Arabidopsis thaliana: one gene and its partner. The protein of the gene in region 1 interacts with the protein of each later gene in a pairwise test. Each region holds a gene or a part of one and is shown in the gene's direction. Other genes may lie near its edges.

Region 1 (8,669 bases):
ATCCGTATATATCCCTTGTCACGTAAGGCAAACACATAAAATATATGATAAAAACAAAAATTAATGGAGTTGAATTTAGTGTTACCTATAACGGGTATTAATTATACAAAAGTATGTAAATTAGTAAAATAGTGAATCGCCCATGAAGTTGCATAATCTTGTCTTGTAAACAAATGTATTGTAATGACGTGACGTTGTGTTAGTAGAGGTATGGAGACAGATATGCTCTTCTGATCAGTTTCTCGTCCGATCAATATTATTATCATTGTGGGACGGTCCTACTCGACAAATTATAGAGACACCCACGTTTACATTATTGTAAATATTTATATTTTTAGCTAACTTCGGGCCTACTGTCACTATTTGCTAGCTATATTTTCTTCAAAATGAAACCGTCATCTATATTCAATGTCCTGTTTCAAATAAGCTCAAAATATTTTGGTCAAAATTACCTTTACTTGATGGAATTTTGCAATGCTTGATACATTATGTTTATGCAATTTTATGGTGCATTATTATATGTATGTAAAGTATCTAATTTTTAAGTATACTCAACAACGAATAACTAAAACATAGATCATATCTAACACTAGTGTTTGTCTCTAGCGATAATAAAACTTTAAATTCTCTAATGTCTCTACCAATAGAATATTTTTGTGTGATATATATGTATATATAGAGCAAACAATGTGGAAAGCGACTGGGAAAATAAAGGAACCAAATGAGAAAGGGAAGGGATACAGCTGGGGAAGTCAACATCCAAATCAAAGATCTTTTGATTCTCACTCACATATCCCTTTATTAAACCGTATCTCTTCCCATTTAAACCGACACAAGAAAATTTATTAGGTATCACGGTTAATACTTTATTATTCAGTAGAAAGTATTAGTATTTAAACAACTAAAGAGAAGTTTTTTTTTTTTCTTGCAATAGCTAAAATTCCATTTTGTATACTCTTAAAAAAACTATGTTAGTATTATTGATTTTGGCCAAATGTATGGGGGGATTTTTTTTTTATAGTATTCTCATCTACTTTTTGTTTTTGTTATTGACTGTCTCTGATTTCTTTCTCGTGTATTGTCTCACTTTTTAAATCATTATCTTAGATTTTTCTTAATAAAATAAAGAAGCAACATACTATATACTATTCTAACATGTAGGATGATAACCTTGTAAGGGCCATAACTTTATGGAATTTCATTTGTAAGTTTGAATAATTACCAATCGAGTGAAGTGAGCATGAAAACAAAGTGATTCAGTGAAAGGGGTACATTTATAACCACATAATCATCATATACTAACCATTTCACTATCTATTACCGTTTCTAAATATTTTACTGTATTATGGTCCTTTAATTTGTGTTTTAACTTTTAGTGGCTAAACGATGCCATAGGACCCAAGGCCATCACACATTGATATCAATCAGAAAGAGAATAAGCAATTATAAGTTTTCATAATAAATATGTGATATAAAACTTGGAGATAAATCAGAATGGGATTCGGAGCATAAGGGGATAACATTAGAGAGATGGATGTAGAAAGAAAAGGACATTGAGTAGGTTAGACGATTCTTATCAAACTTCACTTAAAAGGGTAATCGACCCAACAACATTTTAGTTCTCTCTTTCTTTTTTGGTTCTTTAATTTTAATTTATTTTCCAGACTGTAAACGAATATTAACACTACAGAAGAAACCAAAAATGTTTTTTTTTTCGGCCTAACTATTTGGGATCAATACGATTCGTTGCTTATTTTTTTCTAGTAACCTTCATAGGTTTCTCCAAGCTTTCATTATTTATTGTAATTGATCTCCACTTTAAAAGTAAAATCCAATAAATCAGCATTTCCTAATTATATACTAGTAATATTTTTTCACTTTTATTTTTATCATCTTATATATAGGAACTATATGAATGTAAATGTTTTCACGTAACGTTTTGGACATATACAACTAGTAGTTGCTACTAATTCCAATAGGAACAATTATCGCTATGACAAAAACAAATATCAAATAAGATTATTTTCCAGACAATGACGTATCATTATAATAATAAATTTTAAAATGTTTTATTACAATGAATCTCCACTTATTATCAATCCATCTAGAAACATTAACCGAAAGATGAATGTTTTTCTACATCCATGAAACTAATTTTTTAGGTCAATGTCTGTTGTTGATCCTCTTTTATATATTAGAAAACTATATAAGCACCGTTGGATTTTCTTAACCTGAGAGCGACGCTAACTATAAAGAAAGATCATCATAACATATTATATGTCAAAATCAGTATAGTCAGATGATTTTTATTAACTTTAAAAGTTTTTACAACTTTCACGAACATGAATTGTATGGTGAGAGAAGCTAGCTAGAGAAATAGTTGATTTTTTGATAAATGATTTAACCTTTTTGGCTCCAAGTCTCGACGACAACTTTCTCTTGTCTCTTCTCACTTCTCTTTCCTCTCTCCTCTCTTCTCAAATCTCTCTCTCTTTCGTATTTCTTGGAGACATCTTTCTCTGGAACTGTTCTTCATCGAATTCTATCTTTTGAGAGAAACTAAATTAAGTTGATAATCGAAGAACTTCCTCGAAATTAGGACTTCTTCTGCTTTTTGTTGTTTCCTAGAGATTTTCCTAGAACGTGGTCCAAGAAAATCACACAAAAAGGTTCATTCCTTTTTTCTTACCAGAAACCACAAATCAAAATCATCTCCCCTGTCTTTGTTTGAAATCTCTCAAATTTAAGAAGGATCATCCATTCACTAACCTGAGATTTTGGATAGGTTTCATCTATTTCAGGTACGATAATTCTTCATTATATTTTGTTTAATCCCGTTGCTTTTCTTGGTTTTAAGTTTTGAATCTTTAAGCCTCACATATTTGTTTTCTTTACTCAATCTAAGGTTGTTTTATTTCCAAAGATTTAAAGGATAGATTCTGTGAAAAAGTTTCTATAAATTTCAAATTTTCAAATGTGTAGGTTACTAGCTCTACTAATAACATAATTACTTTATCCACTAACTACAATCTGCATGACTCATTTTTAACTTGATTGTTTATTTAATTACCTTTTTAATCATTAATCCTTGATAGATACTCAATTCTCAATGTTGTGTTGTTCTTTTTTCATTAAAATTCAATGCTTTTAAAGTTTATATTCACAGATTTAGAAGGAGAGAGAGAGAGTAAAGATAGATCATTTGCTTTACTTTCAAACAAAATAATTAAGAAACTGAAAATTTAGGAGAAGGATAATAAACTTTCTGCACTGTAATGAGTACCTTTAAAGCTCACTTTTGGAGTTTGTGTACTTAAGCAAGCTTAATATGTCCATCTACCATACATGATGTATAAATGTATCACAACTAATTTATGATTTATACAAAACTGTTCACAAATCACATGCACCCATTCTTCTTACAAAATCTTTGCTATGATTGATTTTTTATATATATAGTAATATACGTGCATAGAATATAATAATAATAAACAGTAAACACAATTGGAAAACCATAATACTATGAAAATCCCATACATTAAAATATCAAATTTATTTTGAGTGGATTATTAATTGTATAGTGGTTAGTTTGTTGATTTCATATCTTTATTTTTCTATGTAGGTGGGAATTCCAGTGCATCGACCATGATCAACACCTAAACTACAAATTGACCGTTTTGCCCTTGGGAATCACTATAAATGTCGAGAAGACCAGACCTCCTACGTGGCAGCGTGGTCGCCACCGTGGCTGCCACGTTTCTCCTCTTCATTTTCCCGCCGAATGTTGAATCGACCGTTGAGAAACAAGCTCTGTTTCGCTTCAAAAACCGCCTCGACGACTCTCACAACATTCTACAATCTTGGAAGCCTTCCGATTCACCATGCGTGTTTCGCGGCATCACATGCGACCCGTTATCCGGCGAAGTCATCGGTATTTCTCTAGGAAACGTAAATCTCTCCGGCACCATTTCTCCATCAATCTCAGCTCTCACAAAGCTCTCTACGCTATCGCTTCCATCTAACTTCATCTCCGGAAGAATCCCGCCAGAGATAGTCAACTGCAAAAACCTTAAAGTTCTCAATCTCACCTCCAACAGACTCTCCGGAACAATCCCAAACCTTTCTCCTCTAAAGTCCCTAGAAATTCTCGACATCTCCGGGAATTTTCTTAACGGAGAGTTTCAAAGCTGGATTGGGAATATGAATCAGTTGGTTTCTCTCGGTCTTGGCAACAATCACTACGAAGAAGGTATAATTCCTGAGAGTATTGGAGGTTTAAAGAAACTTACTTGGCTGTTCTTAGCTCGCTCCAACTTGACCGGGAAGATTCCAAACTCGATCTTTGATCTGAATGCTCTCGACACTTTCGACATCGCGAACAACGCAATCTCCGATGATTTCCCAATCTTAATCTCAAGATTGGTAAATCTCACCAAGATTGAGTTGTTCAACAACAGCTTAACAGGTAAAATCCCTCCGGAGATAAAGAACTTGACTCGTTTACGCGAATTCGACATCTCTTCGAATCAGTTGAGCGGGGTTTTACCTGAAGAACTCGGAGTTTTGAAGGAGCTCAGAGTTTTCCACTGTCATGAAAACAACTTCACCGGCGAATTTCCTTCTGGTTTCGGCGATCTAAGTCACCTCACTTCTCTTTCGATTTATAGAAACAACTTCTCCGGTGAATTTCCGGTTAACATCGGCCGGTTCTCGCCGCTCGACACGGTTGATATATCTGAAAACGAGTTTACTGGTCCATTTCCAAGATTCTTATGCCAAAACAAGAAACTACAATTCTTGCTCGCCTTGCAGAACGAGTTTTCCGGCGAGATTCCGAGATCTTACGGCGAGTGCAAATCTCTATTGAGACTAAGGATTAACAACAACCGTCTAAGTGGTCAAGTTGTTGAAGGATTCTGGTCTCTACCGCTTGCTAAGATGATTGATCTCAGCGATAACGAACTCACCGGAGAGGTTTCTCCTCAGATTGGACTTTCAACAGAACTGAGTCAGCTCATTTTACAGAACAACAGATTTTCCGGCAAGATTCCTCGTGAGCTCGGAAGATTGACTAATATAGAGAGGATTTATCTGAGCAACAACAATCTTTCCGGCGAAATTCCGATGGAAGTTGGAGATTTGAAAGAGTTATCATCTCTGCATCTTGAAAACAATTCATTAACAGGATTTATCCCTAAGGAATTGAAGAATTGTGTCAAACTTGTTGATCTGAATCTCGCTAAGAACTTCTTGACCGGAGAAATCCCTAACAGTTTATCTCAGATTGCTTCTTTAAACTCGTTGGATTTCTCAGGGAATAGGCTAACAGGTGAAATCCCGGCGAGTCTTGTGAAGTTGAAGCTGAGTTTCATTGACTTGTCTGGAAATCAACTTTCAGGAAGAATACCACCGGATCTTTTAGCGGTGGGAGGATCCACCGCGTTCTCACGTAACGAGAAGCTCTGTGTTGATAAAGAGAACGCTAAAACAAATCAGAACTTGGGGTTGAGTATTTGCAGTGGCTACCAAAACGTGAAGAGGAATAGTTCACTCGATGGAACACTCTTGTTCTTGGCTCTTGCAATTGTTGTGGTAGTACTAGTGAGTGGTTTGTTCGCGTTGCGTTACAGAGTTGTGAAGATACGTGAGCTTGATTCGGAAAACAGAGATATCAACAAGGCGGATGCGAAGTGGAAAATCGCGTCTTTTCATCAAATGGAGTTGGACGTTGATGAGATTTGTAGATTGGATGAAGATCATGTGATTGGATCTGGAAGTGCAGGAAAAGTGTACCGTGTTGATTTGAAAAAAGGTGGCGGGACAGTGGCGGTTAAGTGGTTGAAGAGAGGAGGAGGAGAAGAAGGTGATGGAACAGAGGTCTCTGTTGCGGAGATGGAGATTCTTGGAAAGATTAGACACAGAAACGTGTTGAAACTCTACGCTTGTTTGGTTGGAAGAGGTTCTAGATATTTGGTGTTTGAGTTCATGGAGAATGGGAACTTGTATCAAGCTCTTGGCAACAATATTAAAGGCGGTCTACCAGAACTGGATTGGCTCAAAAGGTACTCTCTAGTCAATAAGAACCAGTTTCAAAATGGTTAATCATGGATCCAAGATTATAAGAAAGAAAAGTGATTAATTTGTCCCTTTTTGTTGGATAAACAGATATAAAATTGCGGTGGGAGCGGCAAAAGGAATCGCATATTTGCATCATGATTGTTGTCCACCCATCATTCACAGAGATATAAAGTCAAGCAACATTTTACTTGACGGAGATTATGAGTCGAAAATCGCAGATTTTGGAGTTGCAAAAGTTGCAGACAAAGGATATGAATGGAGCTGCGTTGCTGGAACTCATGGCTATATGGCTCCTGGTGAGTTTCCAACTTAACTATAAACTTTGGTTCACAAGATGAAAACTGGGAACTGATTCTTTTTTGTTGTAATTGTGTGATATGATCACTGCAGAGCTGGCTTACTCCTTCAAGGCAACGGAAAAGAGTGATGTGTACAGCTTCGGTGTGGTTCTTCTAGAGCTAGTTACCGGTCTTCGGCCTATGGAAGACGAGTTTGGAGAGGGGAAAGACATTGTTGACTATGTCTACTCTCAGATTCAACAAGATCCGAGGAACCTTCAAAATGTTTTGGACAAGCAAGTTTTGTCCACTTATATAGAAGAAAGCATGATTAGAGTTCTGAAGATGGGTCTTCTCTGCACTACGAAGCTCCCGAATCTCAGACCGAGTATGAGAGAGGTCGTGAGAAAGCTTGACGACGCTGATCCCTGTGTCTCCAATTCTCAAGACACAACTGGAAAGATTACAGTATAGATTGATGATTCACCTACCACGTTTTAGTTATGGTTAAGACTAGTCACTGGTCAAAGAAGTATCAGTTTGTTCGAGACTTGAGTAAAAGTACGAGAGATTGGTTTTTGCTTATTTACTAATCCGTTGTACTAAAAAGTTTGCAGTGAAAGGTCGGAGTTATCAGAAAGAGACTTGGATTAATTTATATTAACTACTGTGGGTGTGTGTTACAGGATATTATTCTTGTGACGATAATACACGAAAATGTTACCTCTTAATTGACGAATTCGATTCCGGTGAGAGGAAGTCCTTCATGCAACTGAAGCGCGAGGTCTCCGACAATCTACATTTAACAACAGTAAGAGTTTAGAATCCATTTCCAACCAAATGCAGAAGACATATCAGAAAGAGTGAATCTTCCTTGGATGAGTTTACCTTGGCCATGGACCTATATGAATATTCGGTAACTCCAGCGACATGAGGGGTTATTATAACGTTTTTGAACTTCAAAATAGGATCATTTGGATCAAACGGCTCAGACCACGCCACATCAATCCCAAGGCCTCCTAGATGACCGGACTCCAGATTCTGGAAAGCTGATTCATAGTTAATAAGACCACCTCGGGCAATATTTACAAGAAGAGCACCCTGAAACAACCAAAGAGAAGTCAACAGTCACCAGTAATCACAAAATAATTCAACTCCGTTGACGACAAAAAAAAAAAAAAAAAATTCAACTCGGTTTTTCCAAATATGAATAGCCCCGGTAATCACCTTTTTCATTGAGCATATGAACTCCTTATTCACTATTTCAGCCTGAAAATGTCATCATGTAGAAGAAACAATAGCCATATTATCTAAATTGCAGATATATTTTTCACTGCCAAGAACAACTCTTCATATTCATTTGCTTGACAAGTTTATGATGAAGGAGAAGTGGAAATATTACCGTTTCTTTGTTGAGCCTCAAACAAACAACGACTATATCGGCTTTGCCAGCGAATGTGTAAATGTCTTCATGGCTACCTTTCTCATCAACTAGCCTGGCTGAAGATATAAGTTAACAAATTACTAGACCTCAGGATGGTTTGTCAAGGCAAACAGAGGAGTTAAAAGAGAACCCATACAGTCTGAGTCGACGATAGAAGCAGGCCAGAATCTTTTCGTGGCTATTACTCTCGACCCAAATGGCTTCAACCGTTTAGCCAGCTCTATTCCGATGTTTCCATATCCTAAGATAAATACCTGTATAATAGAAAGAAAGAAAAACAAACAAACTTTGTTTAGGGATATAAGCCAAAAGATATCTAATGCAGATTTAAGATCACTCTAAGACTCACAGTTTTACCAAGAAGCGTGTCACCGGTTGGTTCTCCAAGTAGTCTATTTCTCAGAGATATTTGCATTTCGTTCTGCAACATGTCGTACGAATTACCTTTAGCTAAGAAAGAAATATCAGAACTAGCACTTGAGACACTTAAGAGTTATACTAATGGAACCATACAGAGGCAAATCAAATAAACACCTGTTTCTTAAGAAGTCCCAGCATTAGATATATAGCCATCTCAGAGCAAGATGCAGCATTTCCAGTACCCTCACTAGGAATTCTAGCGACCTTAATCCCATGTTTAGTAGCAGCATCAATGTCAACACCTTCACAAGTAAATGACTTGAAATAGTTAAGTAAAATTGCAGCTTAAGATGAGTCCATTTATGCTCTATCGAGTATTAATGCATAAGAAAACTGAGACAGATACCGTCGAGACCAACACCGTACTGCATAATAAGCTTTATGTTGCTTGCACGAGATATAACATTTGAATCCATTTGCATAGTCATTGCCACACATATATGATAGTT
Region 2 (7,937 bases), 8.1 Mb from region 1:
ACGCCTATTGAAAAAAAGTTAAAAATATTTTATTTTATTTTCAAAATGGAAAAATAAAACTAAAATCACAATGAGAGTAAATTAAAAGTTGAAACAAATTTGATTACTTTGATTATATTAAGATAAAAAAAAATGAAAAGATAGAGTTAAAAAAAATTGAAGAATTACATGAAGAACTAAATCTTAAAATTCCAAACTCTGATCCGGTTAATGCCATCCTAAGTAGAAGAAGATACCGAAAGATCAAAGATTTGGCCAACGAACAAAACAGTTCAAGTTTGTCTTCTCTAATCAAGAAAAGAAATGGATAATCTGCCACAAAATCTATGGGAGGAGGCGGCATAATAGCGCTGCAGCCACACAAGTGCAACTGTGCAAGCTAGAGCAGTAGCAGCCGCAGCTTCTGCACTTTCTTCATCGATCTCAATCAAAACATTAAGATCCATGTCACTGAAAACTCTTGAAGCTTCAAAACAATCTCAAAATTTGGAATTCTGAATTCACCAACTCTATCTTTCCATCTCGGAATGTGGCTGTCCTAGAATCCATAACTAGATGTTATTTCCTCGACAGGCTTATCCAATCCATCTTTCTTGTCCGGTAGAAAGAAATACATTGAGAATTGGCGACTTGTATCCTTATAGTCTACTCGGTATTGTAGTATTCTAAGGACCTTGAAACCATTGTAAGCCTTCATATATTTTCTTTCATAGCTTTTCATGAAAGGCACAAGTACTTGTTTGCCATTGACAAGGTGGAAAGGTTTGTGTATCGTCATTGACTTACCGAATTTGTTTTCCCAAGCTCCCTTGAAGTACAGTGCGTTTCCATAAATCTTAATGGTTTGGTTTGTAACAGATCCAGGAGGTAGAAGATTTTTGATGAGACCATTGGTGTGACGTAAAGCCCACGAGTTCACCTCCATACGCACTTCCTCGGCCTTCAAAACAACAAAAACCATTAACACAATACCACAAACCAAAGATCACACACACACACATATATATATATATATATATATATATGTAGTTTCTCTAAGCACTTAAGTGTACAGTGTCAAACATCTGTTGACCTAATTTATTTATAGAAATTCGAAACCTAAAAGATAGGAAATCAACTTGAGCAAAATCAGCTTGAAGAAATTCTCAAAGAGATCCTTGGACCTGGGACTACACGAAAGTGAATTCTCTATCTATACTCCATTGACTGCCGCGTGGACCACCTCTTTAGCTTCCTTCGACAAGGACAACGGAAGCGATTTCGCGGAAACAGAACCATACTCTCTCCTCATGTTACCATTAAAGATTTTTGGAATGACATTTTGAATTCTTTATCTACTAGATGCACAATTAATCTCACACAAAAACTTAATCCAGCTTATGTGAACTACCATTTTCCCTCGAAAATCTATCGTATGTCATGTTGACACTTAACACAACATTAACTTCAAGTCATCAATAATTTGATGTAAGTAAATTGTAATGTGTGGTCGGCCTAAAACCCCTTTTCAACAAAACCAAATATTTTTACTTTATTGATTCTAATGAGTATATATTTTATTAATTATAATTTTGAACAATGACCGAAAAAAGATGTCCAAAACAAATCATCAAATCGCTCTTGCACTTCCTTTTTTTTCTAACACCAATCGCTTTGCACTTCAATCAATTATATTTTGTTTGTTTCTTAAAAAAAAACAAATTACCTTCCTATTTTGCAAAGATTTTTAAATTTATTACTTTGGAAGAAAAAAACTAATTCTGATTCTCCACCACATACAGGAAATAAAAAATAAAAAATAAAAAATAATCTAAATCTACCTTAATTCACATAGGACATAGCTTAGAGGTGCATATCGGAAAGGTACCTATGGGAAAGGTTATTTCTGATTAAAGTAAAATTATCTAATATATTATTATTATTAGCAGTTTCACATTTTCTAAACTCAATTAAGCATCTTAGTGCATATCCTAGGAGGGTATATATGACAAATATTGTTTAGAAAAACGTATATATTCAACATGCTGAATCGTTTTTGTAAATACAATTAAGTTAAATGTTTTCATATCATATTCAAAGTTTATTTAAAAGAATCATCGGATAGTTTGACCAATTTTTTTTTATAAATCTTATTAGGCAACTAATTATGGAGTTATTTTTAATTAAGTGTAGTTGACAAAAAAAAAAGTGATTTACAAAAAAAAAAAATCAATATATATTAGATGAAAATTGTATAATTGTAACAAAAAATAAAATATATATGTGGAATTAAATAAATAAACCTTATTTCACCAGTTAAATCATTTTTTTGGGAAAGTAATAGTCATGGTTCACGATTTTAATTATTATTTTTTCTTGGACAAAATATTTATTTTATATTCTAAAAGTACATATTTTCCTTTTAAAAGAAAGAAAATAATTAATATGTTCTCGAATGTTTAAACTTAAAACACGTTCCACCTTCCATCTACACGCATCTGCTTAGTCTCAACCATTTGTTTTTCGAAATCATTTTTTGATTTCTTTTTGTTATTGTCAACTTTCCTACTCCTTCATTGTTTCCATTTTTTCATATCATTCGAATCCATCGAGATTTATTTCCAAAACCCTATCTGAATTTGACTCTATTTATTTGGTCCAAAGTCCAAAACAGAGTGCAACATTCGCCAAACTGCTAGAGAACATAAACTGAGGATTTGTTTTGTTGGTTTGTAATTTCTGGGAAATTGTTTCGTAAAAGTTTTGCTTGGAAACTGTTTCGTGAAAATAGAAAAAAGTAAAGAGACATTGTTGACCTCTCTTCTTGGTTCAGAAAAAAAGGTGGGTTCTTCTTTTACGTTACATTCTTTTGCTATCTTCGTTCTTAATCACTTTTTCAAATTCTACACATTTTGGAATAAAGTAAAATTCCTTTTTTTGTTTGTTTTTTTCATAAAGGTTTCGTCAAATTGTTGGGTAGCTATCTCTCATTAATTAAAATCAAGTTTTTCGATTTTTCTTTGGTAATTGACATTAACCAAACTTTTAGTGATAGAAAATTTGTGGTTATAACCAACTTTCTCTTCTTAATCTCTTCTTATTTCTTTTGATGTTTTTCTATATTTTACTTTTTGGTATATGAAGAGGTGGGGAAAGTTTCAGCCTATGATCCAAGGCTAAATTGTTCTTAGAACAAATTTTGGGATTTTCTGGAACCCTCTAGATTTCTGGAGGCAACACAAAATTGGAGTTTGACTTAAAGTCATCAATTATTTGAATTCTAAGGTAATTGTAATATGTGGTTATTAGCCTCCACACAACTTTATTCCTGAAAATGAAATAATTCTCTTTTTATCTTTTTCTAGGGGGCACCTAATGAAATGTCACCAACCTAACCGAGAATCATTTACTTTGCTAGATTCTGTATACATATTCTTATATGTACTTGTGACGCTAAGAGACTCAAGAAGCTTCAGTAACATCTCTTAATGATGTCTGAAGATGGCTACAACACAGATTTTCCAAGAAACCCTCTATACATTTTCTTTAGTGATTTCAGGTAAAATATATTTTCTTGTATAATTCTGTTTGAGGTCATGGCCTCAAGAAGTGAAACTTGAGAATTGGTTTTTCTTTGATGTATCAGATCAGTTCTGAAATTTGATGAGCTCGGTTTAGAGATAGCGCGAATTGCTTTACCCGCAGCACTTGCTTTAACAGCTGATCCTATTGCATCTCTAGTTGACACAGCCTTCATAGGCCAAATTGGTAACAACAAGAACAACAACTCTTTTCATTTGTTTATTGTTATTTTATAAATGAAAATTATTGGTGTAATTTTCGGTTCTTGTTGTGGTGATGACTGATAGGTCCTGTAGAGCTTGCTGCAGTTGGAGTTTCTATTGCTTTATTCAACCAAGTTTCAAGAATTGCTATTTTCCCACTTGTTAGCATCACAACTTCCTTTGTAGCAGAAGAAGATGCTTGTAGTTCTCAGCAAGACACAGTCCGAGATCATAAAGAATGTATTGAAATTGGTATCAACAATCCAACTGAGGAAACTATAGAATTGATTCCTGAAAAACATAAAGGTATATATTTGTTCTTGCTAACATAATCACTCCTCTGTTTTTTTTTGTGGTGGTAATAATCACAAGTATATTCATTTTTATTTCAGATTCTTTATCAGATGAATTTAAAACCAGTAGCAGTATCTTTAGTATTAGTAAACCTCCAGCCAAGAAAAGAAACATACCATCAGCTTCATCTGCTTTAATCATTGGAGGCGTTCTCGGCCTTTTTCAAGCCGTGTTTCTTATATCCGCAGCCAAACCTCTCTTGAGTTTCATGGGAGTAAAACACGTAACGTATCGATCTTTTGTTCTCTATAAATGATGTTATGAGATTCAAAATCACTTAACATGGTTTGATTTTTTCAGGATTCTCCAATGATGAGACCTTCTCAGAGATATCTATCTTTAAGATCACTTGGTGCACCAGCTGTTCTACTCTCACTTGCGGCACAAGGCGTTTTCCGCGGATTTAAAGACACGACAACTCCGTTATTCGCTACTGGTAATACTATTTTTTTCATATGTTCAAAATCCTTAAAACAGAACAAAGCTAATGATCCACTTTACTTTTCTTGTTTGATGATTAATGATCCACTTTTTTTTTGTAGTGATTGGAGATGTAACAAACATAATACTCGACCCGATTTTCATATTTGTTTTCCGCCTAGGCGTAACAGGAGCAGCCACTGCTCATGTTATATCCCAGTGAGTTTAGTTTTGCATGTGAACCTTGAATAATCTCAAAATGGCCTCTACTTTAATTGACTAGTGGTTTCTATGTTCATTTTCAGATACCTTATGTGTGGAATACTCTTGTGGAAACTGATGGGTCAAGTTGATATCTTCAACATGAGTACCAAACATCTTCAGTTCTGTAGATTCATGAAAAATGGTATTGTAAAATACTTCAAAGAAAATTCAATGTGTTTACAATGAAATCTCTGATAAAATAACACTGTTTGGTTCTTGTTTTCTTGTGAAATATTTCTCTCCCAGGCTTTCTTTTGCTGATGAGAGTAATTGCAGTAACATTCTGTGTAACTCTCTCCGCGTCACTAGCTGCACGAGAAGGATCAACTTCCATGGCAGCTTTCCAAGTTTGCTTGCAGGTTTGGTTAGCTACTTCACTTCTTGCAGACGGGTACGCCGTAGCTGGCCAGGTTTTTAGATAATGATGTCTCTAACATTGCATCCTTTTACGATTAAGCGCGTGGTTTAAAGTTTTAACAAATGTCTTTTCCTTTAGGCAATACTAGCGAGCGCGTTTGCCAAAAAAGACTACAAAAGAGCAGCAGCTACCGCCTCTCGTGTACTGCAGGTACACACAATTTATGCATTTGTGTTTGCGTTTACATTATGTTTACGATTTTGGATTTATATGAAGAAAATATACACAGAAAGTATACATAATAGGTAATTCAAAGGCAAACAAACAATGGAGGCCTATGTGTACTTTAGCTTATAAAGATTCGATTCTAGATCAATTTAAAGCTAAAGAACTAAATCTTGTGACAGTTGGGATTGGTTCTCGGTTTTGTACTTGCGGTTATACTTGGAGCAGGATTGCATTTTGGAGCAAGAGTGTTTACAAAAGACGATAAAGTTTTACACCTAATTAGCATAGGACTTCCGGTAACTAATCATTTCCCATTAAACCACTAATCAGGATCAATATTATTACGTAACATTAATTTGGCTAAAAATCATTTCTTGTTTCCTAAAGTTTGTGGCAGGGACACAACCAATTAATGCCTTAGCGTTTGTGTTCGATGGAGTTAACTTTGGAGCATCCGATTTCGGTTACGCCGCAGCTTCATTAGTAATGGTGGCTATAGTTAGCATCTTGTGTTTGCTCTTCCTCTCATCGACTCATGGTTTTATTGGACTTTGGTTTGGTCTCACCATTTACATGAGTCTTAGAGCAGCCGTTGGATTCTGGCGGTAAAACTTTGTGAAACTCTCTGTTTCTTGTAGTACAAATGTAAAAACTTTTCCAACTTTCTTATAACAGAATGTAAATGTGACTGTAACAGGATTGGGACAGGAACAGGACCTTGGTCTTTTCTTAGGAGCTGAAGAAGGAATTTTAGAGGGAAGAGCATGTTTTAACTGTTCTTAAACCTTTATTTCTAATGAGGTTGTGTAACTAAATAAAAATACCAAGAGTACAAGTCTGGAGATTCAAATAATTCTATGCGATTTTTACTGCTACTCTTGTAAATATTCAAGTTGTATCCTGTAATTAGAGGTGGTTAGTCCAATTTTTGGAGGTTTTATTTCAGATATTGTAGTTAAATATAGAAAATCGATAGAACATATAGAAACTGATTTTTGTTTGGTTGACTATAGTGTTGAACTTCAGATTAATTTTTTCAAAACAAGTAGTTCGAATATGACTTCTCAAATGATATAATTAGGATGTCAGTTTTGGTTTGGTTTTGTTTCAGATTTTGTGGTTCGTGAAATACAAAATATATCAGCTGGTTTGGTTTTGACAACAGTGGTTTCAAATCAGATTCATCTTTCTTAAAACAAGTAATTAAAAAATAAACTGAGTGAATTTCGTGAGAAATATGGTTTGTTTGAATATAAGAGTTTTGATTTAATTTTTCTTCTTTTCTTTTTGGTTTAGTTTTGGATAGGAGTTTATCAAAGAAAATTCATTTTAAAAATATATGTTTTGTTTTTTTCTTCATTAGAAAAAAAAAACACATTCTGAATATGCAATACATATTTATAAACAAAGTGCTAACTCTATTCACATTACACTTCAGTTTATTAACTAGATTGATAAAATTTATCATCTATTAAATATAAATAGTTTGACATTTCTAAAATACGTGAAAATTCATTAATAAAAAACATTTATAAAATAAAAGAGTGGAGGTATTTGTCACATATTATATATTTCTATAATATCCAAACTTATAAGAATAAATATCGTATAATTGAATCTCAACCGATCTACAATTTTTTTTACAAAAATTGCAAATAATAAAATAAAATAAAATTTAATAAGGCCTATGTTTAGAAAACTCTTTTCTTCAACATGATTGGCTCATAGCCACCCTCAATTATTACTTTAAACCAAAAATAAAATTCCAATCTTTATTAGCAAAATTAAAAACAAGACCAAAACAAAAAAAAGTAGAAACCTTTACGGAACTCCTCTGCCATTCTTTTCCAATCTAAGCCAAAACTCAATTACCCTTTTTCCGATTTACCGGAGAAACTAAATCTCCGCCATGCCTACCACCACCACCTCCTCCGCTTCTTCCTCCTCCTCTGCCTCCGGTAACAATCGTCAATCCGATGTATTCTCTCGTCTCGCTTCTTCTGACCCTGAAGTCAAGCTTAAGGCCCTTCGCGAGGTCAAAAACCAGATTATCGGAAATCGTACAAAAAAGCTCTCTTTTCTCAAACTCGGAGCTATTCCCGCCATAGCTTCTGTTCTCGCTGATGCTGACGATTCTGATGAATGTAATAACATCCTCGTGCAATCTGCGGCGGCTCTTGGCAGTTTCGCTTGTGGGTTTGAAGCCGGTGTTCAAGCTGTTCTTGACGCCGGCGTTTTCCCTCATCTTCTTCGTCTTCTCACTAATACTGACGAAAAGGTTTGATTTTGAATAAATCTATTGACTTTTTTTTTTGTTAAAGTCTAATCCTTTTCCCCCAAATTTGTGTCTAGATTCGAAATGACATTAGAATTACTTGTGGGTCTTTGAAAAGAAAGCTTGAACGATTTAGAATTACTCTTGTCTGAATCTTATTAGTTTGGGACTTGTGGTTAAAGTTTTCACCTTTTTGAATTGTCTGCATCTGAGGAATTAAAGCATTGGCCTTTAGAATTTTGTGGATCCTCTCTTGTCTTGCTTTCTTATGGCT

The links.
Region 2: the proteins of AT1G72180 (region 1) and AT1G51340 interact in a protein complementation assay, tested with the Arabidopsis thaliana proteins (one large-scale study listed by BioGRID).

The regions. Positions count from the first base shown.
Region 1 is NC_003070.9:27,160,375-27,169,043, forward strand, and holds AT1G72180 (Leucine-rich receptor-like protein kinase family protein), read left to right. Parts: upstream 1-2,445; 5' UTR 2,446-2,801; intron 2,802-3,622; 5' UTR 3,623-3,699; coding exon 3,700-6,062; intron 6,063-6,165; coding exon 6,166-6,374; intron 6,375-6,468; coding exon 6,469-6,830; 3' UTR 6,831-7,056; downstream 7,057-8,669. Other genes in the region: AT1G72190 (D-isomer specific 2-hydroxyacid dehydrogenase family protein), read right to left, coding at 7,084-7,152, 7,245-7,457, 7,584-7,625, 7,759-7,856, 7,937-8,054, 8,150-8,221, 8,335-8,462, 8,567-8,669. UniProt on the Arabidopsis thaliana protein: Receptor kinase involved in the perception of C-terminally encoded plant signaling peptide (CEP) and subsequent regulation of root and shoot development.
Region 2 is NC_003070.9:19,028,554-19,036,490, forward strand, and holds AT1G51340 (MATE efflux family protein), read left to right. Parts: upstream 1-2,444; 5' UTR 2,445-2,820; intron 2,821-3,120; exon of another isoform or gene 3,121-3,123; 5' UTR 3,124-3,264; intron 3,265-3,344; 5' UTR 3,345-3,467; coding exon 3,468-3,538; intron 3,539-3,625; coding exon 3,626-3,747; intron 3,748-3,848; coding exon 3,849-4,070; intron 4,071-4,156; coding exon 4,157-4,341; intron 4,342-4,418; coding exon 4,419-4,554; intron 4,555-4,660; coding exon 4,661-4,757; intron 4,758-4,843; coding exon 4,844-4,944; intron 4,945-5,048; coding exon 5,049-5,212; intron 5,213-5,298; coding exon 5,299-5,370; intron 5,371-5,567; coding exon 5,568-5,684; intron 5,685-5,775; coding exon 5,776-5,993; intron 5,994-6,085; coding exon 6,086-6,128; 3' UTR 6,129-6,554; downstream 6,555-7,937. Other genes in the region: AT1G51330 (Serine protease inhibitor (SERPIN) family protein), read right to left, coding at 288-450, 615-940, 1,199-1,291; AT1G51350 (ARM repeat superfamily protein), read left to right, coding at 7,298-7,666. UniProt on the Arabidopsis thaliana protein: Citrate transporter critical for aluminum tolerance. Responsible for citrate exudation into the rhizosphere to protect roots from aluminum toxicity.